Ovis aries: one gene and its partners. The main gene of each other region encodes a partner of the protein of the gene in region 2 in a complex. Links are inferred from orthologs where the notes say so. Each region holds a gene or a part of one and is shown on either strand. Other genes may lie near its edges. The genes, in order: MED20, MED16 and MED24.

Evidence for each region.
Region 1: MED16 (region 2) and MED20 share a complex: the UniProt entries of both Homo sapiens proteins name them as parts of the mediator complex. The link is inferred for Ovis aries from reciprocal best matches to the Homo sapiens genes MED16 and MED20.
Region 3: the proteins of MED16 (region 2) and MED24 are in contact, whole or in part, in a cryo-EM structure (PDB 7EMF), measured with the Homo sapiens proteins. The link is inferred for Ovis aries from reciprocal best matches to the Homo sapiens genes MED16 and MED24. Residues at the interface, in NP_005472.2 of Homo sapiens: His29, Cys30, Pro31, Ser32, Arg52, Asp54, Asp55, Gln56, Glu82, Asp102, Val126, Glu127, Gly128, Asp129, Pro130, Val184, Ser185, Leu187, Thr203, Glu204, Ser205, Cys207, Arg208, Leu209, Arg210, Gly211, Arg212, Asp232, Gly233, Ser234; in NP_055630.2 of Homo sapiens: Ile539, Leu540, Asn541, His544, Pro545, Glu593, Arg629, Met630, Leu631, Gly632, Leu633, Asp634, Glu635, Asp676, Gln679, Gln680, Thr681, Ala682, Pro702, Pro703, Lys704, Arg705, Pro706, Ile707, Lys708, Glu709, His737, Met738, Gly739, Gly740.

The regions. Positions count from the first base shown.
Region 1 is NC_056073.1:15,712,380-15,716,023, forward strand, and holds part of MED20 (mediator of RNA polymerase II transcription subunit 20), read right to left. Parts: intron 3,410-3,644; coding exon 3,156-3,409; intron 1,647-3,155; coding exon 1,431-1,646; 3' UTR 1-1,430. UniProt on the Homo sapiens protein: Component of the Mediator complex, a coactivator involved in the regulated transcription of nearly all RNA polymerase II-dependent genes.
Region 2 is NC_056058.1:41,105,833-41,109,476, forward strand, and holds part of MED16 (mediator of RNA polymerase II transcription subunit 16), read right to left. Parts: intron 2,539-3,644; coding exon 2,107-2,538; intron 1,467-2,106; coding exon 1,361-1,466; intron 1-1,360. UniProt on the Homo sapiens protein: Component of the Mediator complex, a coactivator involved in the regulated transcription of nearly all RNA polymerase II-dependent genes.
Region 3 is NC_056064.1:40,087,846-40,091,489, forward strand, and holds part of MED24 (mediator of RNA polymerase II transcription subunit 24), read right to left. Parts: intron 3,569-3,644; coding exon 3,469-3,568; intron 3,160-3,468; coding exon 2,984-3,159; intron 490-2,983; coding exon 225-489; intron 1-224. UniProt on the Homo sapiens protein: Component of the Mediator complex, a coactivator involved in the regulated transcription of nearly all RNA polymerase II-dependent genes.

The DNA of each region.
Region 1 (3,644 bases), on a different chromosome or scaffold from region 2:
CTTCTTAAGACCAGCTCTGACTGTGACCTCAGGGTTAGCTGGACTGAGCATCTCTGAAGCAGGAGGGCAGGGGCAGGCGATGGAGGTCAAATGAGCAGCTTGGAGGCTCCCATGAGATGAGGAGTTAAGAGTTCAGGACACCCTGAAGCGCAGTGTGGGCCTCAGGTCAACTGTTTAACCCCGAGCTCTGGGCACTCGAGAACTGGAGAGGTCTTGATGCAGAGACTGACTCAAGGGGTGCAGAAGTGACGTCCCCATGTGAATAATCCAGCTAAAGTGGCTCTGATATCAGCCCCATCCCAATCCAACTCAGAAACAAATAGCTTACAGGGGTGCTCTTTGCAAAATAGCAAGAATAGTCTTGGGCAGGTCCATTGAGCTCCCTGGGGCAGAGGCTATTAACTAGGCCCCCACATCCATTTTCTCCTTCACCTTTTGGTCACAGAACCCCTGGCATTTTAACTGGGCACATGACCACCCAAATAAGAGGCTCTCTATCCCAGAGCTCCTCTCAGGCAGGTGTAGCCAGAGTGACTGGAGCAACTCCAGGGCATGGCCTTTAGAAAAGAAAACTGTTCTCTCTCTCTTACCCCAGGGGAACTGGACATGTAGTTGATGATGCTCTGAGTTGCCCAAGGACAACACCCCAGGGGTGGCTGGACAACAAGCTCAAAGGAAACCAAGTTCCTGACAACCTTGTGGAGTTAAGCCTGCCCTGGGCTATCTGATTACCTCTGTACTATTAGAGAAGAGAAAAATAAACTATGAGCCTCTGTACTTTAGCTTCTTCTTATAGCCACTCAGCCTGTGCTTTAATATCATTCACTACCGAATGGAAAGATGGCCAGAGGGGAGACTTCAAAGGACTCAGGCAACACCCTAGAAAACTGATCTCACGATTTACCTCAGCAAACAGGTCAGAAAACGACAGCCACCAAATAAGCTTGGCCTCCTGCTTCTTTCCCAGGAAAGGCCCAGCCACATCCTCTGAGTGAAGCCCCAATGCAACACATAGCCTGTCCACTGTGTGGCTGGACCAAATCCTCAGGAACTGGTAACACAGACTGCCTTTCCACCGACACTCAGCAAGGACACCCCCATCTGACCTTTTCCCCTAAAGCAGGAGAGCTCCAGACGTCTCTGCTCTGGGTAATCACTTTCCTGAGGACAGGCCAAGCCCAGCAAGGCGGGGGCTGAAACAACTGTGGCGGGGCAGGCACAGGAGGGACTGTGTGTGAAGCTCAGTGGAGGGGAGTCCAGCACCCCAGAACAAAAGCCACAGCTGGGAACTAGACAGGGAGGGACACCCTCCTGTCTGCCCAGGATTTCCGGGGTCCAGAGGCCTGAGGGTGCGGTGCCTGCTCCTTCTGTGGAGTGCCCCCCCGACTCCCTCGGCCGGTGACACAGTTCAGCCCAGCAGCTGCCAGTTGCTAACGAATCCCCGCCACCGGCACCTGCTGCTGCTTGCGGATCTTGTTGAAGAGTTCCATGTACTGGACCATGGTGTCTGCTGGGCTGTAGACAGCGTCATGTCTGTTCCCAAACACTGCGGGTGCCCCTGGGGTGTGGCTGCCTAGAAAGCTCTGCAGGAACTCCAACAACAAGCTCCAGCAGTCGCTAGCTACCACACAGGGGCCATACTCCACCTGGGGACCAAGAGAAGGGAGATGGAGGGTGAGTGAGAGCAAGGACAGGTCATTTGCCCTCTGCATCCATCTTCCCCAACCCGGAGACCAGGACACAAACCTTCCAACCCAGAGTTGCCCCGCAGGAAATATCCAGCTCAAACACCAGGAATTTGAAACCCTCAGCACTGTACCGTTTAAGCTCAAACATTCTCATCTTGAGATTATCAACTCACAGGCCTGTGCACAAGACCCAGAGGCACAGCTTGGTCCCTTCAAATTATTTCTGAATTTTATAGTCCCAGCTATGATGCGTGTAGATTCATGGACAGCTTGGGAAAATTCTATGAGAAAAAATGAAGAGCAGGAGAAAAAGTCTGCGGGGTGTATAAGTTGGGGGAATTGACAAGAGGGCAAAAAGACATTCAGGCCCGTAAGTCACTTCAAGAGCAACCATTATTCCCAAGGTAGATATAACCTGGGCTCTGACCTTAAGAAATGATTTCCCAACTCATGTGACAGGGGCTGAAGGATACAGATCTTACGCTTGCTCATTCTCCTCTCCTAGTTTTTCACTGGAGAGATGGCAGGGCAAATTACTGGCAAGTACAAGGAGAAATAAGTAAAGAAACTGCCAGGTGTGTTTGTGTTGCAAAGTTGAAAACGTGGAGGATAAACAAACAGTGAGTTCCCCGTGGGTCTTGGCAAATTCTCTGTGTGTTATGAATGAAAAGAGTCAGGACATCTTAGCTCTAGAGGTCTCTGGAGTGTCACAGTAGTCATGACCACTAACGCCCTTTTCTCCACCTGTCCTGCTTTTGAGGACTTACCTATCCCCAGGTCTCCACATTTCAATTCCCTCCTTAAATGCTAATCCTGCAAGAGGTATCACAGTCCCCAAAGTCAGCGGTGCTCTCTGCCCCGAACTCCCAGAGCAATCTGTGCTTCCTTTATGGCATTTCTTACAGACTAACTTCAAAAACAGCTTGCATGTTTAGGCCTGGCTCTCTTATTAAGTCATAAACGTTCAAAAGGAAGGCCCTGCAGTTTACTTATTCTTTTTTTTTTAATCTCACACAGTGCTGGGACTGTGTTAGATTGTACAGACTCTCAGTGGTCCCAAAGCCAGCTACTGTCACACTCCATCTTTGTCATTTTCAATATACGTCATAGATGAAATCGTCACACATACCACGAAAGAAAGTGGACAGCATGTCAAAGGGAAGGGCACATCTTTGCTTCAAAACTTTGATTGGTCCCTCCGTGTAACAGTTCACCTGCCCCTCCTTGACCATCCCTCCTCTTCTTCCTAAGCCAGCCTTCCTAAGCTTTCTACCTGCTGCGAATCCAGCTCCCCATTCCCATTCTGGGCTAGAGCGTCCCTCAGTGATTAAAGAAAGGATAAAAAATGCAGGGCAAGGAGGTGTAGCTGCTCTGCAGACAGAAATCAGGGAGGCAGACACATCTGCCTGCGGGAACCTGCAGAGCCACGCCCTTCACCACATCTGCTCTAGTTCACCTAGGTCTTACCTCCACAGAGATGCCTCGGGCACTAGGCCCCATTGTGACCGTGCCCACCTTCACTAGGAAGTCACAGTACTGGTAACGGGTGCCCCGGGTCTCGATCTTGCTGGCCTTGGCACTCTGGAAAAAGCCCTTGAGTTTCACCATGAGCACGTCAAAGTTGGTGTCGGCAACAAGGCAAGGGCCGTTCTCAAAGAGGGCGAAGCAGCTCAAAGGGTACTCAGAATTGTGCATCACATACATCAGCTTCCCGGCCTGACCTGCAAGGGACGGAGATCCTGCTCAGCGACAAGACCTTCCTCAGCACATCCCAGAGTAGAGGCCAAAGTGCTGAATGGGGCCAGGAGGCAATCCAGCATCGCCCCAGCAGTCCTGGAGGGCGGCGGAGGCAAGGCCCTCACCAACAGCCTTTTCCAGAGAAGACCAGCAGCCAGGCAGCATGTGGCAGACCCACCCAATCTACAGAAAAAGGTGATGGGCACACTAGAACTTTTG
Region 2 (3,644 bases):
TGGTCTGAGAGATCCTGGGTGGACCCCAGGATCTGTCCAGCTCCCTCAGGAGGTGGACAGACAGGCCCCTCCTGGCACCCACAACCTCAGTGCCACAACGGAGCCCACCAGCAAGAGGCAGGGTGGTTCCCATCCATCTGGGCTTGGTCCCCGCGTGCTATGGGCAGAGGTGCCCAGACACCAAGGTGACTCCGAGACAAGCCCAGGCCCCCAGCCAGTGGCCAGCACTCCAGCTGCCAGCACTCCAGCTGCCTTGGGGGGCCGGCAGACTTAGGGAAGCAGGCTGGAGCAGTGAGGTGGTCCAACCCAGGAGTGTCCAGCTGTGTTTCTGAAACAGAGTTTGAGGCTGGCTGTGATAACACGCCTCTGCGCCCACCTGTCCTGAGAGCTCTTCCCCAGACGTCTCAGCAAGAGGGGTCTCCTGGAAAACATCATCCCACAAGGAGACGGAGGCCCAGAGAGAGGCAGCACTGAGCAGAGCTGCCATGGTGACAGCCAAGGCGATACCCAGAGAGGGAGCACGTTCAGGCCAGGCCGGCACCAGCCACCCACACTGGCTTCCTGACAGGCTTGGCCGTTTCTAGGTCACATAGGAGAGTGGCCGCTGTCAGAGGCTGAACAGCTTGCCTGAGTCTACCTGGACCCACTGTCCACCCAAGTCAGGCCACCCCCTCTACTGTAGGCTGGACAATAGCTGGTAGAGTGGGGCCCGAGGGAGACCAGTGTGGGCAAACGTGAGGAGGAAGGGGCAGGAGAGGCAGGTCTGAGAGCCCACAGGGCCACGAGGCTGGGACAAGGGGCAGGGGTGGGGGGCCGCAGGTGAACTCAGCAGAGACCCTTCAGCACCTGGATGCCTGCCTTGGGAAGAGGCTCCACCAGGACGGGAGGCCCTTCTGCATGAAGTCTGGTCCTACTATAACAAGGTCCCAGGGACCTTGGGACTGTAGGGCAGGTGGGGAGCTGGGCCAGCCTGGGACTGGGAAGGGCCAGGACCCCACTCAGGAGGTGCAGCCCGACCACCCTCACACAACTCCTCTGGGGCTGTGTTGAGCAGCGTATGTAACCCACCTGAGGGCAGATGGACCTCAGGGGCCTCTTAACTCAGGCCAGTCACTCCAGGGCCAGGAGCACTACTGCAGGGGGAATGCCCCTGGGCTGTGTGGCCACAGTTCACCCCTGGCATCTTAGCCACACGGGTATCAGCAAGCGGGCCCCTCTGGCGGAGACATGGGGCTCCGCATGGGTTCAAGGTCAGAGAGGGAGGGAGAGGTGGGCATGTTCTAGCAAACTCAGGCTGCCACCACGCCGCCTCGCTGCACCCAGGGTAGTCTGAGTGTGCCTGGCCACCTGAGCGACTCACCAGCCGGAGAGAGCTGCTGGAAGATATTGTTCACAGGAAGCCCCTCCTTGCGCAGCGACCAACACTCCACCACACTGCTCGTCTGGCTGGATGCACACAGCAGTACCTAGGGGTGAGTGCGTGGTGAGGGGCCTAGAATAGCCCATGGCCTCTGTGGGGTTCTGGCTCGTCTTAGGGCTCACATGCCACTGTGGGTACAACCCAGGCCTGCCTGGCCTGCGTCTGCATCTGCCCACCCACTGGCCTCACTCCCATGGGGAGTGCTGTGCTGTGCTGGGGTGGTCATCCATGGTGCCCCAGCAGGAAGCAAAGGTACTAGGGAAACACATCAGGGACTGGTGAAGCTAGGGCTGGTCAGCACAAGGCTACAAGGGACCTCAGGGAACCTGGTGCAGGTAGCTCAACTTTGCCTCCAGAGACTCCCCTGTCCTGGTCCTGGGACCTGTGGATACATCACCTTATGGAGCAGAGGGGACTTGGCAGGAGGGATTAAGCTAAGGCCCCTGAGATAGGGATGACCCTGGATTCCCCAGGGGGCCCAGTGTCATCACAGGGTCCTTATAAGAGGGAGGTGGAGGGTCAGAGGCAGAGAGACAGGAGATTTGCACTGTTGGCTGTGAAGATGGAGGGAGGGGCCACGAGCCAGAGATGCTGGTGCCTCTAGAAGCTGGAAAAGGCAGGAGCCCCTGGAGGGAGCAACCCCGCCCAGGCGTGGGTTTAGCCTCGAGGTGGTGGGGCGGGCTCACTTGCTCCGACATGTCGCGGGCCAAGAACTTGAGGTGGGTGATGGCAGGCAGCCGGTCGCGGCGGCTGAGGTCGGTGGTGCAGCGCATGAAGAGTGAGGGCAGGAGCTCGGTGTCGATGCGGCACTTCTCATTGACCACGCTCACGCACACCTTGTACAGCTGCACCGGTGATGCGCTGCTGCCATCTGCTGTGGCCACCACGATGTTGCCGCCACCTGTGAAGGCGATGTCGGCCAGAGCCACACGGCCGCGCAGCCGGCACAGGCTCTCAGTCGAGGTGAGCACCTGCCCGCTGGGCTTGAGCAGGGACACAGTGACCAGGCCGCTGACTGTGACAGCGATCCAGCCCTCCATGGGCTTGCCCCCGAACAGTGTGAGCGATGGTGAGAACTTGACTCGGGAGAACTTTTCCCCGAAGCTGGAGGCACCAGACTGTAAGGGAGGGGAGGGGTCAGCTGCAGGGGGTGGGGGGGCGCCCAGTTCATGTTCGGCCTTTAGGGGTCTACCTTCGTGGCCCGAGGACCCCTCCTGGGAACCGCACCCTCAGGAACACAGAGGAACCAGATAGCAGAAGCCTCAAGAGACCAAGCCTGAAGTCAGATTCGGCTTCAGCCACTGAGCGCTGGGTGACACAGGCCTCTCTGACCCTCAGTGTCCTTGTCTGTATGTCCAAGAACATGATAAGGTCACAGCTAGACACACAAGGGACAGCAGTCAGCCGTGTTTTCTTTAGGGCCAGACAGACATCCAGTGTTCTCAGGTGCTCAGTTCAGCCACTCCAGGCTCCTTGCGTGGGTAGTGTGGGAGCACGGCCTGAGCCACTGCACAGAGCAAGCTGGGCACTAGGTAAGTGGCTGTAGGACTCAGATATGCCCCCTGCAGGCAGTGCTGGGAAGCACAGCTGCCACTGCTCTTTCATCTTTTTGCCCCTGGGCCCCCAGCCACTGCCGCACTGGCCTCTGCCCCAGCTTTGCCTTTCCCAGCATCCCCGGAGGCAGACCCTAGGGAGGCCTGCAAGCCTGACTCCTTTCCATCAGCACAAAGCATCTGTCACTGAAACAGCATGAGCTGGAGACTGCACAGAGTTCCTCTGAGTAGTGGGAGACTCTTTGCCCCTCTGTCTGGGGATGAGGAGCAGACTCACTAGGCTCACCCAGGCACCCCCAGGCTCATGGGACTAAATATCCATGAAGGGCAGGGCTGACTACAGCCCCAGCTGAGTTTCCTGGACGTGTAGGTGAAAGCAGTGTTAAAAGAAAGAAGCAAAAGCCCCTAAGTGAGCCCCAAGGGGAGATGCTGAAAGTCTGAAAAAGAAACCTCCCACAGAAAAAACGGTCCAGATGGTTAGGCAGTAAGCCTTGCAATGAGTCACTCCCTAGGGGAGAAGGGACAGGAGGCAGACACAGGGAAGGGATAGAAAGAAAGGTCATTTCCCACAGCATCATTCCAGGAGGCCCTCCTGGCTTGGGAGTGGAGCTGACCAAGCCACGTGAGCTCTTGCTGCTGCCATAGGCCTCACCCAGGCATGGCCCCGACCA
Region 3 (3,644 bases), on a different chromosome or scaffold from region 2:
GAGGACCCTCAACACAGGGCAATGACATCCCACAGCTCCCCTCAGAGCCCAGGAGCGCCCCAGGTGAGGAATGGCCTCTGGAGCCCAAGGAACCTTCTTGAGCTGGGATTCGCCAGGCTGAGGGTTGGGGAGCCAGCCAGCCAGACCTAGCTCAGTCTCATCAGGCCTGTCTCTGGCAGTCTGAGGATGCCTGCTCCCACAGCCCACCCCCAGCACTCCCGTACCTTAATCAGGTTGTTGCAGAACCAGTAGACACCACCCATGTGCAGCAGGGTGTCGAAGATGTGGATGGAGCGGCTGTCCACCCATCCCTTCTCCAGCACCTTAGCAAATATGTCCGTCAGCACCTCCTTGATGGGCCGCTTGGGGGGCAGCAGGTTCCAGTAGGGCATGGTGTCCATGCCCGTGGAGGGAAACTTAATCTGCGTGGCGGTCTGCTGCAGCACGTCCGCACACATGTGCTCCAGGATGGAGCTCATGATCACCACCCTGGGGGGGGGCGGGGGAGGGCCAGTGGTACAGGTTCAACAGAGGGGGTGGGAGTCGGGGCGGAAACACCCAGGCCCCACTCCTCCCAGGATTAGGGTTACGGAACCAGGAACCGGGAAATCAGCCTCATTCTGTGCTGAGGGAGGGAGGGGACAAGAGGAAGTTGCAAACCCTGAGCAGATGTGACCCCACCAGCCCTGTGCCAGCACCGAGCCTACAGGGGGTTGGTGGGCACTTGCCTCTCGGGTCATTTCAGCAATATATTCATACTTTTTTTTCCTCTCTCAGTCTCTCCCTCCAACTTCCCCACCCTCCAAGCCCGGGCCTGCCAATCCTCTGGCGTCAATATTGATAAATACAATCACTTCCCTCTAGGCTGTGCTCGAGGGGGGTTCCCCACCCGGCCTTGGCTTCCTCCCAAAGTAAACTGTTACTTCCAGGACAGGGGCCCAAGGGCTGCCCCACAAGACTCTTCCCGGCCCTTGGTAGCTGGGCAAATGTAAGTACATCCAGGAATTTCCTCATGACAGGAGTCTCTGATGGTGAATGCAGGTCTGGGCCTGAGAGCTAACCGTTCAGGGAACACTGCATGGCTCTGGGAAAGTCACCACGACTTTCATAGCCACTTTTCCCACCTGCAGGATGGAGCCATAGATTTCCCAGACAGCAGTTAGGGTGCTCACAATCAATTATATCAAAGAAAATAGTCCCTGATTTGTGGGAGGAGGATGAGGAAGGAGGGGAGGAACAGAGAAGGAGGCAGGGGAAAAAGACCCTCCCGATCTCATATCAGCTGTGTTTCCATTTTTTCCCTTAAAAGACATTTTGATGGCTACCTTGCGGGTCATCACTCATAACTTAATGTTTGGTGCAAGCCCACATTCATAGCAACACTAGTCACAACAGCCAAGAAGTGCAAGAAACCCATGTGTCCATCAGCTGAGGAACAGATAAGCAAAATACAACATATACATACAATGGAATATAATCCAGCCTTTAAAAAGCAAGAAGTCCTGACACATGCAACGGTGTGGTTGAACTCTGAGGAACATTACACAAAGTGAGACATGCCCGCCACCAAAAGATGAACGTGATATGATTTCACTTATATAGTAAATTCACAGAAACAGAAGCTAGGGTGGCGGTTGCCAGGTGCTTGGGGAAGGACAGAAAGGGGTGGTGTTTAATGGGTCCAGGGGCTGGGGTAAAGACAGGAAGGGGTGTTGTTGGTCCAGGTTCAGAGCTACAAGATGGAAACATTCTAGAGATGTTTCACAACAATGTGAATATACTTAACACACTACTGAACCCTACCGCTGGACCTGGTGGTACAGTGGAGAATCCACGCACCAGTATAGGGGACACAGGTTCGATCCCTGGGCTGGGGAGATTCCACATGTCTCAGAGTAAAAAAGCCTGTGTGCCACAGCTACTGAAGCCTCCAGACTCTAGGGCCTGAGAGTCACAACTGCTGAGCCCAAGCGCCCTATACAGCCCACACGCCACAACGAGCGGCCACCACGATCGGCCACCACGATGAGAAGCCCGTGTACTGCAATGAAGAGTAGTCCCAGCTCACCACAACTAGAGAAAGCCCACGTGCAGCAACAAAGGCTCAGCAGAGTCAGAAAAAAATAAAAATGAGCTGTTATCTTAAAAATGGTTAAGGTGGTAAATTTTAGATCATGTATTTTTTTACCACAATGTTTTAAAAAAGCTTACTGGATGGGTAAACAAACCCACACCCCCTGACTCAACATAGCTGAAGTTGCTAAGGAGGTCTTCCAAGTCTCTGAAAAGTCCAGGGAAGAAAAAGTCACAGAAGAGGGGGTGGGGGCAGGGTAGGGAGGGGGTGGACAGGCCCACAGCCTGTAAACACTATAGAGGGGCTCTACAGCTCCTAGAGAGGGACAGAGCTGAGATAAGACTGTTCCCACCAGCAAGCACCTGGGACTCAAGCTCTCCGAGGGCAGGAATCCTGGCCGTTTGGGGTCTGGAGTTTGGCACACACACAGCAGATGCTGGATTATAAACACGGCCGGCAAGAAGACACATACAAGCACTGCTGAGTCAGTGAGTGAAGATGTGATTGAGAATGTGAGTGAGCAGGCAAGTGGCATGTCTGGGGAGGTATGAGAAGAGGGGTAACTTCCCTGGTGGTGCAGTGGTTAAGAACCCACCTGCCAGTACAGGGGACACGGGTTTGACCCCTAGTGTGGGAAGATTCCACGTGTCTTGAGCGACCAAGTCCGTGTGTGCCGCCACACAAGAAGCCACCGCAGTGAGAAACCCACACGCCACAACCAGAGAGTGGCGCCTGCCCGCCGCCGCTAGAGAAAGCCTGCGCACCGCAGTGAAGACCCCATTTATTCATTGTACGCTACATAAATAAATGACTGATTTTTCCAAAGAGGGAGAGAGAGGAGGAGGAAGAGTGGTTACTGGAGGGGCTGACTTCTCACCACAGACCTGCAGAGTTCAAGAAGGGACCGACCTCTCGTTGTAGAACTGCAGCGTGTTCTCGCTGTACAGCGGCCCTGCCAGCTGGCGGATCATCTGCAGCGACTTCTCTCGCTCGTCCAGTCCCAGCATCCGCACGTGCGCCACGAGCCAGGCCACAGCGCACACTGCCAGGCTGCACACCTTCCCCTTGATATTATCTGTGATTTTCTGGGCGAGGGAAAAAGAGTGACTGGGGCCTCTCGCGCCCTCCCTGGCCATCACTTTCCCCGGCCTCCGTGAGCAACTCAGCAGAGCAGTGGGGTCTGGGGCCACGTCCAAGCCTCTTTTCACCACAAGTCTGATTTCCCCAAAGTCACCTGGTGAGAGAGGGTAGCTTAGACTATGACTACAGGGGAGGCCAATGCCCACACACGGGCTTCTGGAGGAAGGGTCGTTTTGTTTTTATGAAATGTAGCAAACTATCAAAGACTGGCTGTGCCTTAGGGAAGAGGGAAGGCTGCGGAAAAGAGGAGCTACCTGGATGGACTCGAAGGCTAGCACCCCATTCTCCCAGGCGTTGAGGATTTCCAGGATGGCCGCTGAAATGTTGAGACAGGCTTCGTGCCACTTCATCTGCCTACATGGGGATGGGGGTGGGAGAAAACATCACCACAGGGGTGGGCGGGCGTGGGCGGGGCTGAGGGAGAGGGCCC